Linked DNA regions of Drosophila melanogaster. Changing the gene in region 2 together with the main gene of any one other region gives a genetic interaction. Each region holds a gene or a part of one and is shown on either strand. Other genes may lie near its edges. The genes, in order: east, Chro and grh.

Region 1 (5,014 bases), on a different chromosome or scaffold from region 2:
CGTCTGAGTCGGCTTCAACATCTTGCGATCGCTTCCGTTTTACCGCAGGCTCCAAGGGAGGAGCCACCACCACTGGCTTCTTCCGTCGACCGCGAGATGGAGGGGGTTGCTCTGTTACTGAGGAGGATGCAGCTACCAAAGACGCGGTGGAGTTGGCTCCAACTGTAGAGGACTGGCGACGATTGCGAGTGACCCGCGTGTTAATCGCCTGCTCCTGGGCATGTGATTTACGTGTGACACGGTTACAAGTGGGTGTCACTGGTGCTATAGGCACCACTGGCGGAAGTACTTCCTTGACCTTTTCCTTCTCCTTATCTATATCCTTATTTGCATCAATATCTTTTTCTTTTCCTCCATCTTTATCGGCAGCTTTGTCCTTCTCTGTATACTTTTGTTTCTCCGAAGTTTTTTCTGTATCTGCAATTATTTCTGTATCAGCTGATTTTTCCTTCTCTTCCTCCTGATCGGTTTCCCGCTCATCTCCCTTGTCTTTTGTGTCTTTGTGGTCTTTCTTGTCTGTGATTGGCAAGGATTCCATTTCGTTGCCATCCGCGACATGCTGTTCCTTGACCTGGCCAGGCGTCACTCCACTTGCAGCTCGTGACTCTGATGCTGCGGCAGGCGGCTCCTCGGACTTGACTTCTTTGGCTTCTTTCAGATCCTTGATGGACTTTCGTCCGCGTATAACGGGCGCCAAAGATCGCTCCACGGAGCTCTTTCTTTGGCCACCCGATCCCGTTGGTTCCTCGGTGTCTAGCTCTCCGTCGCCGACCTCACGTCTACTTGTCGTGGGCGAGATGATCAGAAGCAGTGGCGACGAGTGCCGGGTAACCCTCACGCTCTTGGCCGCCACTCCATCACTGGCGGTAGGCGTGACGGCTGGCGTAAGGGTTGGCGTAGGCGTGGACCTAGGAGTTTTGGAGACTGGATTCGATTCCAGCTCTTTTTCGCCTTCCAGCTCTGCTGTTACTGTTGGCTCCTTAGCGGGCTCCACTGACAAAGTTGAGGTGCGTGTTTTGCTTATGATAGACATCTCTTCGCCGACGCCCATTGCTGGCTCCTCGCTGCTGTCTGGAATCTCCACACTGGCATTGGCATTATCATCCAGGGGGGCAGCTGCTGCTGTGGATTCGTCAGCTCCTCCAGAGCCTCCTGGCACCTTCCGGCTAGACATTCTCGAGGGGCCCTGGGCAGCTGCTGCCGACGTTGCTGCTCCTATGATGGCCGCTCCCCCGACGCCTTCTGGCGCTGCTGCTCCACCACCTCCTGTTGTTCCCTGCGATCCGATGCTGATTGTGTCCAGTTCGAGTCGCAGTGATTTGGTCCCATTGGTTGACTGTGATGTGAAGAATATCTGCAAGGACGCGAAGAAGGGGAAAAAGAAAGTTACTAAGTCGTATTACTAATCCGCCATGTGGGAATAACGTTCTAATTGGCAAAGCAAAAACAGCTCAACCCAGAAGTAGGTTAAATTCTGCACTAGATTTAAAAAACAAAAAGAAACGCCATTCTGGGTTTCTTTTGCATCCTTTCAACTTTAATTATAATGCTCTTATAAAATCGTTCTGGAAGACCAAAATATTTTCGTTATCTTCTAAATTCAAACTTGTTAAGTGAATGGAAATCCCATCCCACCTGTAAAATCCCTGATAAGCATTGAAAACTTTGATAAGCCTTTGGATTGCTAAGTCATAATGTATATGCTCACTTAGATAAATCAAATTTTTAGTTGTAACTCAACATTGTTGTGTTTTCTCCAAACTAATCAACTATTAAGTCGATTCAATCCAACTAAAAGAATATTATCAAAGGACTTTAATCTCCAAACTTCAGTATAACAGCTAATCTGAGCCGAAGCGAAATCCTAAGCGGTAATGTGGTAAACTTAGTTTTATGGCCCTGGCTTTCACCTGGCCGAAAGTAAGCCGCTCTCTTAGCCCCTTTTAGCTCATTCAATCCCCAGGACAATCCGATCCGATCCGTTCACTCGATTCCGATTCGGAGTCCAGTAACGCGACTAGAACATTAAACATGCTTTTGCGGTTTCCAGAAACCCCCTCTTCTCCTTGCCAGCCACTGTCCAGCTCCATTGCCCCTCTTTTCTATCGCTGCTGAAAACAAGTTTTGGCAGCAGCTGGGAGCTGCGAGAATGCGAGGAAAGCAAAACGAGAAAAGAGCAGAGGAGACGAGTGGCGTGTAGAGGAGAGAAGAGCAGAGTCGGAAGAAGCAGCAACTGGGCAAGGCTGAGAAGAGAAGCTGAAGAGTCGATGAGATGTTGAATAATCCTCAAATTGGTTAGGTATCCTGCTTCTGCTGTTGCCGCTTGCTGGTCCTCCTTCTTCATCTTCTTTCTCCGCTTCTTCGTGGCCTGACGATCAGAGTAGCTTTTGGCTTATGATTTTAATTTCGATTCTGACATGCGCCATTTTAGCGCGAGTGCGAGATTTCAGATTGCAGTTCGCACCGGCGAAGAAACGCGGAAAACTCACACGGACACGACACGCACACTAACAACTAGCATAACTGTCACAGCGACGACAGCAACAAAGCAGGCGAAAAGGAAGTGAAAGAGAATGGCAATAACAAAATGAAGACTCCGCTGTCGTATCGATGTGTGTACATGTACACAGATATACCACCAAGTAGAACTCACACAGACGCACGGCACAGTGTGCAAAAACGCCGCGATTGTAAACACGGGCAGACAGTCAGTTGGACGGAACGGAAGAAGCGGAGTACCTGAAGCGAACGGAAACTGGCAGCAGTTTTCACTAGGCGGAAAAGTTACCAAAGAATTGGCAGAGCTGCCATCCTCTTCGTGCGCTAGGCAAGGGGGGAATTCGTGGAGAGTTTCCGCAGAGTTGCAGCAAAAACCGCAAGGGACGGCTAGGAGGGAACAGCGAGGCGACACGAGACGGGACGAAGAACCAGAACAGCACACAAAAATGGGTGGCAGTGACGTACATGCACACCCAAAGCGAGCGCACACAGACACGAGCAGCGCACAGGCACACGCACACTCACTCACACACACTCACAGGCAGTAGCGAGCACAGAAAATTTCTTTTTCACCAGGTTTTCGCAAAAATACGAACGCGAGCATTAATAAACGAACGCCTGCCGTTTTCTCATTTGGCAGTACGGCGAGTACATCTTTTCACCAGGCACTTTGCACACAAAACACAAACAAGCGAGTTGACGAGGAAAACCCTTTGCATGGCTTTTCATTTCGTTTTCTTTTCCTTTTTGTTCCTTTCATTCATCGCCTTGCCTTACTTTTCCGCAGGTACTCACCGAATAGCAACAAACAAAAAAAAATAATAATAAAATAAAATGCAGAACCCGAACAAGAGTTGTGAACGCAAACACGGTGCGAAGCGAAATAACGAGCCAAGATGAAGAGCAAAAGAGCGACGCTCGGCCCGACGGCGCAAAACCTCAATTCGCCACAACTCGCCACGACTCTTCGTCTCGCTCTTCGCCGCACGATATTATGCACTATCGGCCCCGATTTGCTTTCGGATTTGGCTTGGCGTGCATGCAACCCTGCTTGTGGGCGGCGGGGAGGGCTGCCTGTCCTGCCGTCGCCAGGATGTATTCCTCGTCGCCATCATGAGTTCAAAGAAGTTGCATTCGGATAGCTTTGTCCTGACTAATTAAACTTTTAATTTTTTACTTTTCCCTTGGGAATGCTTTTGAAATTAATAATTTTCATATCTTGCATTTATACAGATTTGATTTATGTCAGTCATATTAAAAAGCATAATCGCGCGTAAATTGAAACATTTGCTGGGTCAACTTCTATAAATAATGGGAACATTGAAATTCCAACTGACAATGCACTTAAAAAATAATAATAAAAATAAGTAAAATAGTCAATAAATACAATTGTTTTAAAAATTGTTTTGCACTCATTGCAACAAAAGGATTGACGTTACCACTTGGGATGTTTCGCAACTCTGTTTTTGTAGGGAAGTGAACAGGTCGACGTGCGTTTTCGTCCGGTGTACGTGTTGTTTTTGGCAAATGTTTGTTCGCTCTTTTCGCCGCGACGTCGGCTGTTGTTGTTGGTGCTGCTGATGCGTCTTTTTTTCTGCGTCGGTAAAAAGCAAAAAAAGGACTCGGCAAAATAACATGTCGTTGATTCGGGGGTGGTAATTGGGAAGAAGCGAGCGCCACCACCGAGCGCCAGACTTGCCCTACTCCTTTTCGGTTTTCCTGCGGATTTTCCCTGGTTTTCCTCAACTTGTGATGCTGTGGCGTAGGTTGTTGCACGTTTCACAAGCTTCCATTTCCCGAAAGGGAGGGCGGCAGGCGGCTAGATCTGAATCTGAATCCTGCAAGTGTCAGGCGACGTCCTTAGCCCAACTCCCACCCGCTCTCAAGGGTTCTCCCGTTTATCCACTTTCGCACCCGCCCAAGGACCATTGCGATTATGTAGATGCCGACATTTGTATGTTCTTATGTACATATGGATATATGTACGTGTAACTGGGTTAAAGGCAAAGGCCTTAATTGCTTGGGAAATGAGGGAAAATCAATAGCTTTATGCATGGTTCTTCCGCCCGCTTTCCATTCGGCCGCTTCTGGAGGGACTAGAAAAGCGATTTTCCCGAACTGGGTCAAGTGCGTGGCCAGGACTTCCATTTCCGTCGCCACTGACATCACCAACTAGTAACCAAGGCCATTGCGATCGATTATCCTAGTTGCTTGCCCGCCCTGGCGTCTTTCTTACCTTTCTCCTTTGATCCTGACTAAGATTGGGTGAATCTCGCGATTCTTAAACTAGTTTTCGCCACGGAAATACTTTCGCACGACGCCCACTTGAATAATTCCACCTAGAAAACGATTTTTCTTTGCGGGCGCACATCAACATGTACATCTACATTGGCAGCCGCACACACACGCTTTGTGTGTTTTGTGTTGTGTGTGGCTGCGCCAAAGGCAATTGGAAAACGTAATGGCCGACAAAACGAAAACGCCACGCAGCAAAGAAGAAGCAGCGATAGGCGAA
Region 2 (7,449 bases):
ATGCTGCCCAAATTGGGACACTACAAAAGCATAACGGCGCATGTTTTTAACTCCACCGAGGCAGTGGCAGCGGACGCTCCATCTGCACCCGTGGGAGAATTCACTGGGCCTCCGTTTCCATGTGAAAGCTTTGACCGAATCTTGCTCGATGCACCCTGCAGTGGGCTGGGCAACCGGCCACAGTTGTCCTGCAGCATTAAACAGGTTAAGGTCTTGTCCTCATATCCCCATATTCAGCGCCGGCTATTTGAACAGGCAGTGCAGCTCGTTCGTCCTGGCGGCATCCTTGTATATAGCACGTGCACCGTCACCGAGGATGAGTGCGAATGTCTTGTGGCCTGGGCACTAAGAAAATTTGTCGAGCTGCGGCTAACAGATGCCACTCCCCGGTGGGGCGGTCCCGGACTTCCGCTTCCCGGTTTCGAGGCATGTAAATCTCGTCTGTTGCAGCGCTTCGGTCCAAGCGGAGCAAATGCGGACACTGTGGGCTTTTTTATTGCGAAGTTTCAGAAAATATAAATAAATTCAACTTCACTGAAATTTTTTGTTTATTGGGCTCGATAATTTAAACATTCGTTTTGATTTGCAAAAGTAAGCCGGCTTATGAGTGATATAAGTGAGACCTACGCTAGTGGTATTTGATCAAGAAAATTTCAACCCTACGCTTAGAAAAGCATTTGAAAAATGCAGTCTGATAACATTTAGGCTTTGCTCTCCCATAGCTGCTTGTGCTATCTTAATGGAGATACATAATGTTATCTTTTTGTTTTCGAGTTAAAAAGAACTTAAATAATTTACAATTCATAACTAATGTAATTTTACTTAAATCTAAGTCCGTCATTGTTATTTAACGATTCTTGTTAAAAGCAAAATTATGCATTTCGGGAACTTTAAAACTTTCTACGACAAAGATTTACTTAATGATTTTACGAGTTGTAAGTTAAAAGGAAGTCAAAAATATTACCAATCATTGATGGGACCCCGATAAATGCATGTTTTGTTTGTGCTTGAGGAAATTACTAAATATGATGAGAACATCGATGAAGGCTTTTAACGCTGGCGGAATCTCTCACCTTGACTGCAGTGATAATTATCGTAAAACTGCTTGACTCCCACGATAAAATAATGTTTTAAATAAGGTATTCGCATAATTTATTTCATCGTTCGATGCCTTTTGTTTCCCCGGCGCAGCATTATTGTTTCGCTAGACGTTTAGCGTTCTGGTTCCCGGTATGCTTTCGCCAGAATAATATTCACTACTCGCCAAACACGGCTCTCAGTCAGTGCTGGTGCATACTTATGGCCAAGAGAATGGATTGGCTAGGACCAAACAAAAGTGGAAATGGGAAGAACCCACCAACGTCAGGTTCTTTCAATATAATAGTCTTAAGAACTAAGCCTAATTATATGTACGGATACTATTAACATGATTTTACGTTGGGATGTTGAGCGTCTTAAACTGATCTTCGTGCATCTCAGTCATCATGAAGGTTCCATCCTGAAGCAACAAAACAACGCGACGTGTACCTCCTGAAAAAAAACAGAAAATGAACAAGTAGTTAGTTTTTGAAGAATAATCCCCTAAATATTGCTATAATTTTCTATGCAATTCCGATTTATAAAAAAGCTACCCAATGTATAGTTCTGCAAGAAGAAAAGCAAGAAAATGCTATCGACTATCATCTGATAGTATCTACCCCTCGAGAAACAAACGCACTTGCGCTGCGAATATATATCCCTGCTTAATCATTCAGTTCTCTACGTTCATACAGACAGACAACGCTAGATCTGCTCGCTTATTGATCCTGATTATAAATAGAAAATATATACTTTATATCTTCAAAAAGCTTCCTTCTACCTGTTATGAACTTTTATTATTACTCTACGAGTAACGGATATAAAAGCCAACACAAGAAGCTGGCCTTGTCAAATTTTTATGAAAAACACGACTTACCCGGTGAAGGCAAATCTGCCTGTACCACCTCCGCTGGTATCTGGGATTCCGTGCCATCGCTGTCTGACGTCGTGATATGGATCTGAGCTGTGGGTGGCGTTCCCGTTCCAGCGGCAGAAGCCTCCGCTTGTTGAAGCACCTGGTGTTGCGCCAACTCCTCTTCTGTCATGGACACGAGAATCTGTTCACCGTCCGCCGTAGCTGCTCCGACGCCGTGAGACTCGACCTGTTCACCGGCTTGAACGGCTTCGGCCACTGCGTGGTCCAGAGAAAGAACATCCTGGTCTTCTCCCTCTGCGGCTGCCACGTACGCAAATTGCTGTTCTCCATCCGGGCCCTGCGTAACGAGAATAGTTTGTCCCTCCGCATTTTTTCCCGCTACCTGGTAAACAGTGCCGTCCTCTCCTCGCACCAGCAAGGCCGAGCCGTCCTCGTTGGTAAGAACTTGTTGATCGCTGCCCAGAAGGGCCTGTGCCGCGGCTTCTAGCTGCTCTCGTTGTTGCTCCTGCTGTTGCTCCTGCTCCATTTGCAGTTGGGTCTCCTCCTGACCAATAAGCTTGCCGGTGATTGGACACAACTGAGCTTGGTGCTGATGAATCTCCTCCTCCAATTCCATTTGCAGGGGCGTTGGCTGGATTGTTGACTTGGAAACTATTCTTTGCCGGGCAGGAGTCGCTTTCTGTTGTTGACTGGACTGCTGCTGAGACAGAGCCTGTCGCTGGCGTGCCTGGGCAGAGCGCTGAGCCAACAACTCTTCCCGGGTCACTACTTTACGCGTAACTTTCAAGTCCCCTGACTTTGACAGCTGTAAAATCTTTTGCTCTGGCGTAACTGCCTTGGCACCCTGAGGAGTTTGTACTTGTTGGCGATGTTGCGGAGTTCCGACACCGGCTCGTGCAAGGACTCGACCACCCGGGTGAGCCCGGCCGGGCGCCTGCTGCAAGTTTTGACGCACATGGGATGCACCACCCACTCCAGGACGGCGATGAAGTGCTGCTGTTACAGGGCCGTGGCCGGGAGTTCGAAGCGCGTGTTGTCGCTGGCCCACAGTGATGGGCGAGTTAGCGCCCGAATGCGCAGGACGAGCCATTGGCAAACGCTTGGCTATGCCTGCGGCGGGCGGCGCAGCGATCACTTTTTGCGGAACGGGTGCAGGCGAAACGGGTGCCGGTGCCTCGGAATTTTCAACCCGAAAAACGCCTCTTGTGCTGCTGCCCACCTCGGAGCGCGAAAGATACCGCACGGGACACTCTGGTTTCTCCTTTTTCTGCAACGAATTAAGATCATTGTTATTAATTGGCTGCTGCGTAGAAATAGCATTATTTCGTAATACCAAATTTATTGTGTTTGGCATCTCGGGCTTGCGAAACATGCCGGAGCTCGTGCTATCCTCAGTATAGATGATTTCACCCATTTTTTGTTCCGTTAGGGGCGATACCACGGTGGAATTGCCGTTAATTTTAGTCTGCTGCTTTTCCGTGGACTGAATCCGTGGCTTGTTCAACTGCACGGAGCTTCCTCCGTTTTTTAGACGCTTCACGGTATGGGACGGAAGATCCTCTTCAAGGTCCTCTAGGTCCATCGAGTCGTTTAACCCGCTCCCCTCTAAACTTGAGTCTGTATTGTTCAGCTTTCGCTTGATCGCTCCAGAAGATGGTGGCCATTCCTGTTCCGTGGAGGATTCATCTTCGTTTGCCGAGGAAGGCGAGGAGGATCCATCTCCGGCAACGGTTTCATTGACCCACTGCTTAAAGGCATCCATAGCCTTGGTCTTGGAAGTTCGAGATGGCCGAGAAGACGGCGATACCTGCGACGACGCCGGAAGTGGGCTGTGTGGGGCGGCAGTATCTGACTTTGCGTTTGTCCCTGATGACTGCATGCGCTTCAGAGCATCCAGACCCTTCTCCCTAGTAAGTTTTTGGCGTGCCAATTGCTTTTCGAACATCTGCAAAAAGTATGGCACACGCTCGAGATTGGCCATCACCTCCCAGGTGTTTTCATGATGCGAGCGATCAACCCACTTAACCAAATACTCGTGGGTCTTACGGCGCGGATTGAAGCGCTTAGCGACAATCTTTTCCACTGGCTCTTCGGTGCGCTGATCTGTCTTGGAATCGATCCTAATGGCTATGCGGTTGTTCGGCTTCACGGCTCCGGCAGAGGGAACTGAGGAAGGCGTTGGTGTACTCGGCTTGGACTTGGGTCTTTCGTTTTCTGTATCCTTTAGTTGATTGGCTAACGTAGGCAGCTTACCGGTTGGTGATTCTGTTGATTTAAATATAGTTTAATAACAAGTGTGACTTTTATTTAGAATGTTTTGTATTACTTCTGGTAGGGGAGACGCTCGTGTTGTTGTTGTTGCTATTTGATGTGTTGTTATTGTTTGGATTGACCACAGTCTTTGTTATTCGCACAGGCATGTCCTGGAGTTGTCCGTGTGCAATTTTGCCGAATGACTGTATGGTCTTCCCAGCCACAATCCACGGCTCGCGGACGCTATCGTCTAGTTTTACCCAATGCTGGTACAAGGCCCACGAGCTGCCGGACGCGTCCTTGCGCGAGTGCAGCTGAGTAGCTTTCCATAGCGTAAAAGCCCAGATGGTGGGCTTGGGATCGAGCGATTCCTTCAAATTTGCATTTTCCTTTTCGCAGGCGTCCTCTTTGTGGGCCTGAAACTCTTCCACGAAGTTGTAGGCCCGGAGACATCGTCCACATACAAGAACGTCCATGTTTGCCAATTCCTCCTGTGCAGCTGCAGGGCAGAACACAAAATTAACAATAAAAATTATTTACCAATGTTTTTAGTCACTCACCTCTTATAATGTTTGCGTGTTTGCCGATTTCCGTAGGTGAAATCTCCTGTGCCAACATTATTCACGACTCCAGCGCCCAAGCCTTTGAAGAGAGCATTTAAAGTGTGACTTAAAAATAGTGCTGAATGGAGTCTTATTATTTGTTATTGCTTGGTTTTGAAATATTGGTAAACGGCGAAGAAAAAGTACAGTGCCGTGGTGTGTTTGTGCTAACTTGAACCAGGTGGCAACGCGAACGGTCGCTGTCTGCGGTGTGTGTCCGATATGGTGAGTTCAAGCATATGTACATCTGCAATGGGCAAAATGCAGCGGCGCTTAGGCAGCCGAAAAAAAACACTAAGTACATTATGAAAAGAACGAGCCTGCCGCACTGTTGTAGATATATAATATAATAAAACACAGAAAAGCACGAACTATGCGTAATGCGACTTTATTAGTTACTTAAACTTATCTGTTACAAATGCATTTGAACTTCAACACAGCTAAAAATTAAAATAAATAAAACCCTATGGTTCGATCCTATTTGTTTTCATTTAAAAAAAAGGATTACATATAGTTTAAATAATATCAAAGTTCACAATTTCATTTTGCCCGCTAAACCTTGCAGGCACTAGATATAGGCCAGGTATGATTGCAAATAAGCCTATTCCACATATCATTAAATTAAAAGATTTCTCTAGAACACTTTGGTACACACCTTCATAAACAATTTTGGATAAATATCAAACTGAATGTTGTTTCAAACGGTTATTTTAATTTAACTGACTCCCGATTTTTCAACACGAGCAGCTCCACTGCTGCTCACAGTTGTACGCGCGAACTCTGAATGCCAAAAGCGAAATTCGGCTGCACGGAAATTGTCCAGAGATGATTTGGTTCCGGCTGTGCGGACCTTAGAATGCTCTTCTGTGCTAAGCTATTTAAATCCTAATATTACTGGGAGTGTATTGCCTGTCGATAGCTTTAAACTAACTGCAGTCCAGTAAATTTTAAGATTTCGAAGGTTTTTTCGAATATAGTATATGATATAAAACGCGGGTTTCAATGCTTGCACGGTTTTAAGTGCCCAAACTTAGGGTGTAGCGCCCTTTTCAGTTCGCCCGTGTGGCGGTGCACTTAGTTAGCCAATTACGCGTCGTGGTGGGTATATTTATTGATGTGGCAACTTTGGGCGCAATAATAATAATATTGTACTTTTTTTGTTCATATTAGGTAAGAAATTCGAAATTATTTTTTATTATTTCATTTTATTATGTCATTCTTTTGTAGATATTTATTGATATAAATACTTACCCAGGGTTGCCACCCAGTGTATTGTATTTAACGTAGGCCCTGTGTGTACACACTGTTACATTAGCCGGCGCATTTTATTTAGCGTTAATTGCTTTTCTTTCTTGATTTGACTTGGTAGTGCATCAGGACTGCAAGTATGGCCGACGATGAGCAAGAGGACCAGAAGGAGTACCGCTGGGAAACGGGCTATGAAAAGACATGGTGCGATGGTGTGCGTGACAATGTAAGCCCGCACTTACTTTTAATCCTATTAGGGAGGCCATCAAGGACGACGAGGATGGGATGCTGGATGGAGCCATTGCAGAGATCATTCAGAAGGCCAAACGCCAGAGGCAGGCTCAAAAGTCCAAGCAGAACCGCCTGGGCATGATGCGCCACATGTTCGTTGTGCTCGATTGCTCTGAGTCCATGAGCGTGCCTGATTTGAAACCCACACGACTGCGGTGCACCGTCAAGCTGCTGGAGCTGTTTATCGAGGAGTTCTTCGATCAGAACCCCATCAGCCAATTAGGACTCATAGCGCTAAAAGCTAAGCGAGCGGAGAAGGTGACCGAACTTACCGGCACTTCGCGCGTGCACCTCAAAGCGCTAGAGAGGTAAGAACCGAATCAAACCAGCGTTCTCCATTTATATCCCCTTTTTGTTTAGCTTGGCTAACGTGTCCTTGACCAGCGAGCCTTCGCTGCAAAATGGCCTAGATCTGGCCCTAAAATCGCTTAAGGTGGTGCCGTCGCACGCCTCCCGAGAGATCGTCATTATCATGGGCTCGCTCACCACATGTGATCCTGTCGATATTAACCTCACCATCGACGAGTTAAAAAAGGAGGGCATACGCTGCTCGGTTATTTCCCTGTCCGCTGAGATTCACGTGGCCCGCTACCTCACTCAGCAAACAATGGGCACCTTCGGGGCTGTTTTGGATGATGCACATTTTCGGGATCAACTCATGTCTCAGGTAGATCCACCGCCCGCCGCTAAGACTCAGCACAACTCGCTTATTCGCATGGGCTTCCCGCACACAAAGAATGAAGTTGAGGGCAAGGACGCGCCATTGTCCATGTGCATGTGCCACATAGAGAACTTGGAGGAGCCCAGTGAACTGACCACTACTGGCCACCACTGCCCGCAATGCAACAGCAAGTACTGCGAGCTGCCCGTGGAGTGCCAGTCTTGCGGCCTCACCCTGGTCTCCGCGCCGCACTTGGCGCGTTCCTACCACCACCTTTTCCCGGTGCCAAATTTTGAGGAACTGCCGTTTGAGGCGATGCCTGCTTCGTCATCCGACCTCACCAGCGATGTCAGGGAATGTTACGGCTGCGCCAAAGCTCTTGGGCAAGGCGTTGACAAGGTCGCCGATAAAGTCGTCTTCAGATGCGGTTTCTGCAAGCA
Region 3 (5,126 bases), on a different chromosome or scaffold from region 2:
CCCATTAAGATTTGACATAATTTGAAATTTGGATTTTACGTATCTTTACCTTACTTCGCGTGAATGTAGGGGGGGGATGGAGAGGGGTAGATGGGAGAGGTGGAGAAAAGACAAGAGAAGAAATGCGCAGCGTAACCCTAAGACATCAACGGTCAGAGTTGTTGGGCATCAATAACCAATGACTGAGACTGGAGAGTTGGTAGATGGTACACGGCAAGAAATGCCATGTCGATTCAAAACTTTGAGTTATATTATTAATCTGATGATATAGAAACTCATTGAAACGATTTTATTTTAGCTTTTGACTTCTTAGCCTCTTTAAGAATAATTATATGCATAAATAAATCCTCATAATATCACCATCAATGCATCCCCTTTTCTCTCCGTGTATTTGGGAATGTTCAGGGAAATAAAGGCGTGCATGGATGGGGCAGGGGTGGCGAGCGCGAAGGGGAACGGGAACGGCTGCAAGACGGAGTCAAGAAGTCCCGAAGAAACGAAGAAAGGCTAAAGAAAAGAAAAACAATAAACGTTAACACGAACACGAAAATAAAATAACTCTCTCACGAAGTTCCCCCTTTTTTTTGTGTGTGGGTTACATGTGCCTGTTTCGCTGTGTGCGTGTGTATCTCACGGCTGAATGTATCTGTGTGTCTGGCGGTGTGAGTGCTGCGTAGATGTTCATTTTACTGTACCATAATCGCAGCCCCAAATTGATCACCATCATCAAGAAGGGAAAAAATCAAAAAAAAAAAAAAAAGAAAGAAAATAAAAATCATAATAAAAAGAAGCTGAGAACATAAGAGGCAAAAGGCAGCACAAAAGTCCAGGGGAAAACGTAATCACAAACACTGGGCAACATCATCGATTTTCGAACAAGAAGGCTGCGCAGTAGACGTCGACGCAGAGGCAGAGGCCGAGACCGAGACAGAGGCGTCTTGATCCCTTCTCGCTACCGCTCTTTATGGCCAACTCTCCCGCTCTAGCAAGGTATTGTTGGGAGCACAACGGCAATATGACAGCAATACCAATACCTGTGCGACTTACCTGCCGCTGCCGCTGCGCAGCGGCCACTTCGAAATACGAAATACAAAATAAAACCAAACAAAGAGGAATGTGTGCGCGAAAGATACCACCAACAACACAACGGCAACAGCAACAGCAACAATGACAACAACAACAACAACAACACGAGTTGAGGCTGGGACCAAGAGACTTAGGCTACGTCTGCACAACATACAGGGTGTCCACTGTGAACGAAGGCTTTCAAAAGCAACACTGGCCAGCAGGGTAATGAAATCGTTTAGTTTCAATACATTTGAAATCATTTAAAATGCCTAGCCGTATAGATATAATAAAACTTATTAAAAAAACATGCAGAATGCATTTTAATTTAAAACCGCACGAACTAAATGGATTTTATGCCTACATCTCCAGCAAAATTGTTTAAAAATATTTCTATGAGATTGTCGTTGTCAAATAATATCGAAATAATATCCAATTACCATTTTTCTATTAACTCCATCGAATCAACTTGACGTACTATGTATAAATCTAGCTAAAATATATCTTATAGTTTGGTAATACCATATGTTTTTTAAAAATATCAAGTTTTGAAAAATATTTATTTTTGAAAAGTTTCTACACCCTAGTAGTGCCCAAAAAATGCCCGCTTTTATTGCTCTCTTTATTGGGAATACCAGCTATTGTGATGGAATCTCCCGAAAAAAGGGATCTATAAGCCGAAAACCAAATGGTCAATAGGGTGCTATATTTCTGACGGTGTAATCCCTCCATGAACCGACCAGGGCTACATAGCCTGATGCGTTTATAATTACTTCTTGGTAGGCTAAGTACTACTCACTTTTGGGCCGGGGTGCCTTGAGCTCTTGGGATCAGGATGCGGATTTTGGCACTTGGTGAGGATCTATGGCACTCGAGCACGCTGGAGCAGTGGATCGGATCGGTGGAACTGGAGCTGGATCGTGGACTGGAGTCTGTTTGCTTTGGGAGTCTGCAACCTGGGAGTCTGGAGCTGTAACTGAAATGTGGCTGCTGCTGCTGCTGCTGCTGTTGTTGGTTGCTCCGTTGTTGCTGTTTTGCTGGTGGGTGCACCTTTCGCCACTCTTTGTGCTGTTTTAGTTGTTGTTGTTGTTGTTGTGCGTCTGGGGGCTTTTAGCCTGGCTCTCTGGGCCTTTGGCTTACACAATGCTCTCGGCTGGCTGCTTTTGGCCGCTTCTAATGTGCCACTCTTTGTGGTATGTGGAGCTGTTGTTGTTTCGTTCGCTTGGTGCTGCCTTTGTTGCTGGCGGTTTGTGCATTTTGGCCTAACATTTGATGTTGCTGCTGCTCATATTGCTGCTATTGCTACTGGAGGGCGCAAAAGTTGAGGGGGCGGGTCGGTTCGGGGGCGTTGCGCCTGGCATTTGCGTTTTCAAGCCAATTTGTTGTTGTTTTTTCTATTTTTCTATGAGTATTTTCACTATTTTTTACGCGCTTTCCGCACTAGCATTTGTTATTGCTGCTGGTTCTGGCTGCTGTTATTAATCACTATTTTTATTTTGCATTTTATTATTCGCTGCTCAGCTTTGATGGCGTCTCATTCCAGCTCGCAAGCGCACACACACAGGCACACTTTAAGCTCACGCTCTCCGAGAGACATGCACACGTACACACACACAGATACTCTCGCACTCAACACACACGCACACACACACGAGGTTTTTTTTCGCTTTTTCAGCCTTCTCTTCCTCTTCGTGGCTGAAATTCGTGTGTGTGTTTTATTTAATTTCGAAAAAGTTTAAGCGCGACTTTTTGCTGTTTGTTTGGCGTAGAAACTTTTGGATTTTTCGCAAATATCGCGACACACACGCGCACTCACAGGTAATTTCGATTTGAAACGATTAGTCGGATTTGAAACTATATATTTTCGGTGTATTAACTTGCTGACTTTCCGTGTGCGCGGAAAACTTGTCGTCGCTGTCGCTGGATCTCGGCTCTTGGCTATAATGCCCAAAGAGTCAATTGGAGATTGTTCAACTGTTGAATGTGCTGCTGCCGCCGCTGCTGCCACCTCTGCCGACGTCGTCGTGCAGTTGTATTGGTGGCAAGGTGATGTCTGTGTTCGCGGCGCTGGTTAGAGAGCGCTCGATTATTATTGCTTTTTATGGTTTCATCTCTTTCGTAACTGATATTGAGCGAACGCGGCAGCGACGCCGGCAGCGCAGCGCCACTCAAATTCATTCGAATCGATGATGTTGTCTCTACACTCCCAAACACCCATACAAGTGCGATCTAAAACACAGGTAGCCCAGTGCTTCCATCTGTGTGTGTGTGTGTGGGTGCACCTGCAGAGGCCGAAACGCAGGCAGGTACAAAAGACTTAGGCAACGAACCTTCCACTTCAGCATGCACTTGCGGCGAAGGGAGATGGCAGATCAAAAGAGAGAGAAAGAGAGAGGGCAAGAAAGAGAGCCACAGCCACCCTCGACACGGGCAAACCGCTCCTGCATTTCGTATCTCCCGGACTTTGCGTTTATTTCTGTGCTGCGGCATTGCATTCATCGTCGAAAATTCGAATTCGCTGCTCGGTTCACTCTACTTCGCTTTCGAACTCGCCGCCTTGTTGTTCTGTTTTTGTTGTTGTCATTCGGCTTGTAAACCGCGTGAAAGTGGTAGTGCAATCGGGCATCAGGTAGAGAAACAAACACACACAACAGCGGGAGAGAGGTGGAGAGAAAGACCGAGATCACCGCATGCCAAGAGAAGTCCCTGCAAAAAATTACTGGATACAAAGATGCACTTTCTGAAAACTATTCCGCGGTTAAGCAGTTCAGATAATTAATATAGTTCAACTCTTAATTCTTATATAAAATACTGTTGATAGGTTTCCTATACACAAGCTAAATCACTAAAGCACTTTGTATGATTAAATATTAAAAAAATTTACGAATATTGCATATATTTAACATAAAATCAAATAAATCAACTCGAATTGTTAGCACTGTGAAATGAAGGATTTTTTTCTCCGTGTGGCATACATACGTAAAATAGTTGTGCATGTACCACAATCGAAAACGCCAAGTAGCTGCCGTGCCGCCGCAGCCTCCGCCGCTCTCTGTTCCGTTCTCTCGGCCTGGCTTTCGGTTAACCTCAGTCGGGCTCCTACAACCTCACCTCGCCAGGCGGCGCGGCAATCAGCGCTGTGTCGTGTGGATCGGCGGACGAACCGACGGACGGTGCTTGTGTGCTTTCCGCCATGGTAAAGGGTGACTCCCCCCAGCTTCCTTTCCTCCGAGCTCCCCCCACTTGGATCCCGCACTCACCAATTCACGTTGTTTGTCTTTTGGCGCTGCGCACGCGTGGAACTGTGGTTAAGAACGTAAAGCAGCGGGCGCTAGTTTTCACTGAAGCACTAGACATTCTACGCAATGTAAAATATTTATGTAAAATGCAATTTTACAGTAAATATTTAAAAAGTACATTCATGATGATAAGTAACAATAAATAAAGATAAAATTAAAAATATTTAATGTAATATGTTGAGTTCCAGGAGCCCAATTACAAACACTTGCATCTCAAGTTTGAATTTGAGTTTTATTTTCATTTCGGTTTATTGTTGCAATATATTAAATGTTTAAAACTAAATTTAGGCTTAGTTTAATCCATTTTTTATTTATTGATTTTGCCGTTTTTGCGTTTACACATTAGTTGATTTTCATGTAATAAATTTAATTTGTGGTTTTTAACTGGTCGAAACATTTCACTAATGCTTGATTACGTTTTTGTACATATACCGCTAAGTAGTATATATATGTATGCATGTATCGGTGTGTGTGTTTTGTGTGCGAGTGTGGCGGTGTATATAACTAAAAACAAACAACAATCGCATTAAATGTACTTATATATTTGGTTTTTTTCTTCAAAAAGTCTTATATCTGTCCGTTATGCAAAAGTAAGAAACCGAAGAGAAGCATTCACAAACAAACATTCCATCCCTCCGCGCGTCCCTTTGTCCAGGACATTTTTGTCTAACCTGATTGCCTAAAATTAATGTAACAAACCATGGAAACGTTGATGTTGGTTCTCGGATTCTCACCGATCCGCGGATCTGCCGATCTCATCGA

Evidence for each region.
Region 1: of Chro (region 2) and east, changing one suppresses a phenotype caused by changing the other (phenotypic suppression), as found in Drosophila melanogaster (one study listed by BioGRID).
Region 3: of Chro (region 2) and grh, changing one suppresses a phenotype caused by changing the other (phenotypic suppression), as found in Drosophila melanogaster (one study listed by BioGRID).

What each region holds. Positions count from the first base shown.
Region 1 is NC_004354.4:2,010,682-2,015,695, reverse strand, and holds the start of east (enhanced adult sensory threshold), read right to left. Parts: upstream 3,054-5,014; 5' UTR 3,039-3,053; intron 2,576-3,038; exon of another isoform or gene 1,911-2,575; intron 1,355-1,910; 5' UTR 1,175-1,354; coding exon 1-1,174.
Region 2 is NT_037436.4:22,873,170-22,880,618, forward strand, and holds Chro (chromator), read right to left. Parts: upstream 5,816-7,449; 5' UTR 5,465-5,815; intron 5,057-5,464; exon of another isoform or gene 4,850-5,056; 5' UTR 4,826-4,849; coding exon 4,768-4,825; intron 4,707-4,767; coding exon 4,281-4,706; intron 4,220-4,280; coding exon 3,288-4,219; intron 3,222-3,287; coding exon 1,955-3,221; intron 1,531-1,954; coding exon 1,433-1,530; 3' UTR 533-1,432; downstream 1-532. Other genes in the region: CG11109 (uncharacterized protein), read left to right, coding at 1-519; Ssl1 (suppressor of stem-loop mutation), read left to right, coding at 6,197-6,261, 6,315-6,656, 6,709-7,449.
Region 3 is NT_033778.4:17,800,130-17,805,255, reverse strand, and holds the start of grh (grainy head), read right to left. Parts: upstream 3,011-5,126; 5' UTR 1,865-3,010; intron 1-1,864. UniProt on the Drosophila melanogaster protein: Transcription factor that binds a CNS-specific regulatory element of the Dopa decarboxylase (Ddc) gene. Also interacts with sequences adjacent to other transcription units, including Ultrabithorax (Ubx) and engrailed (en).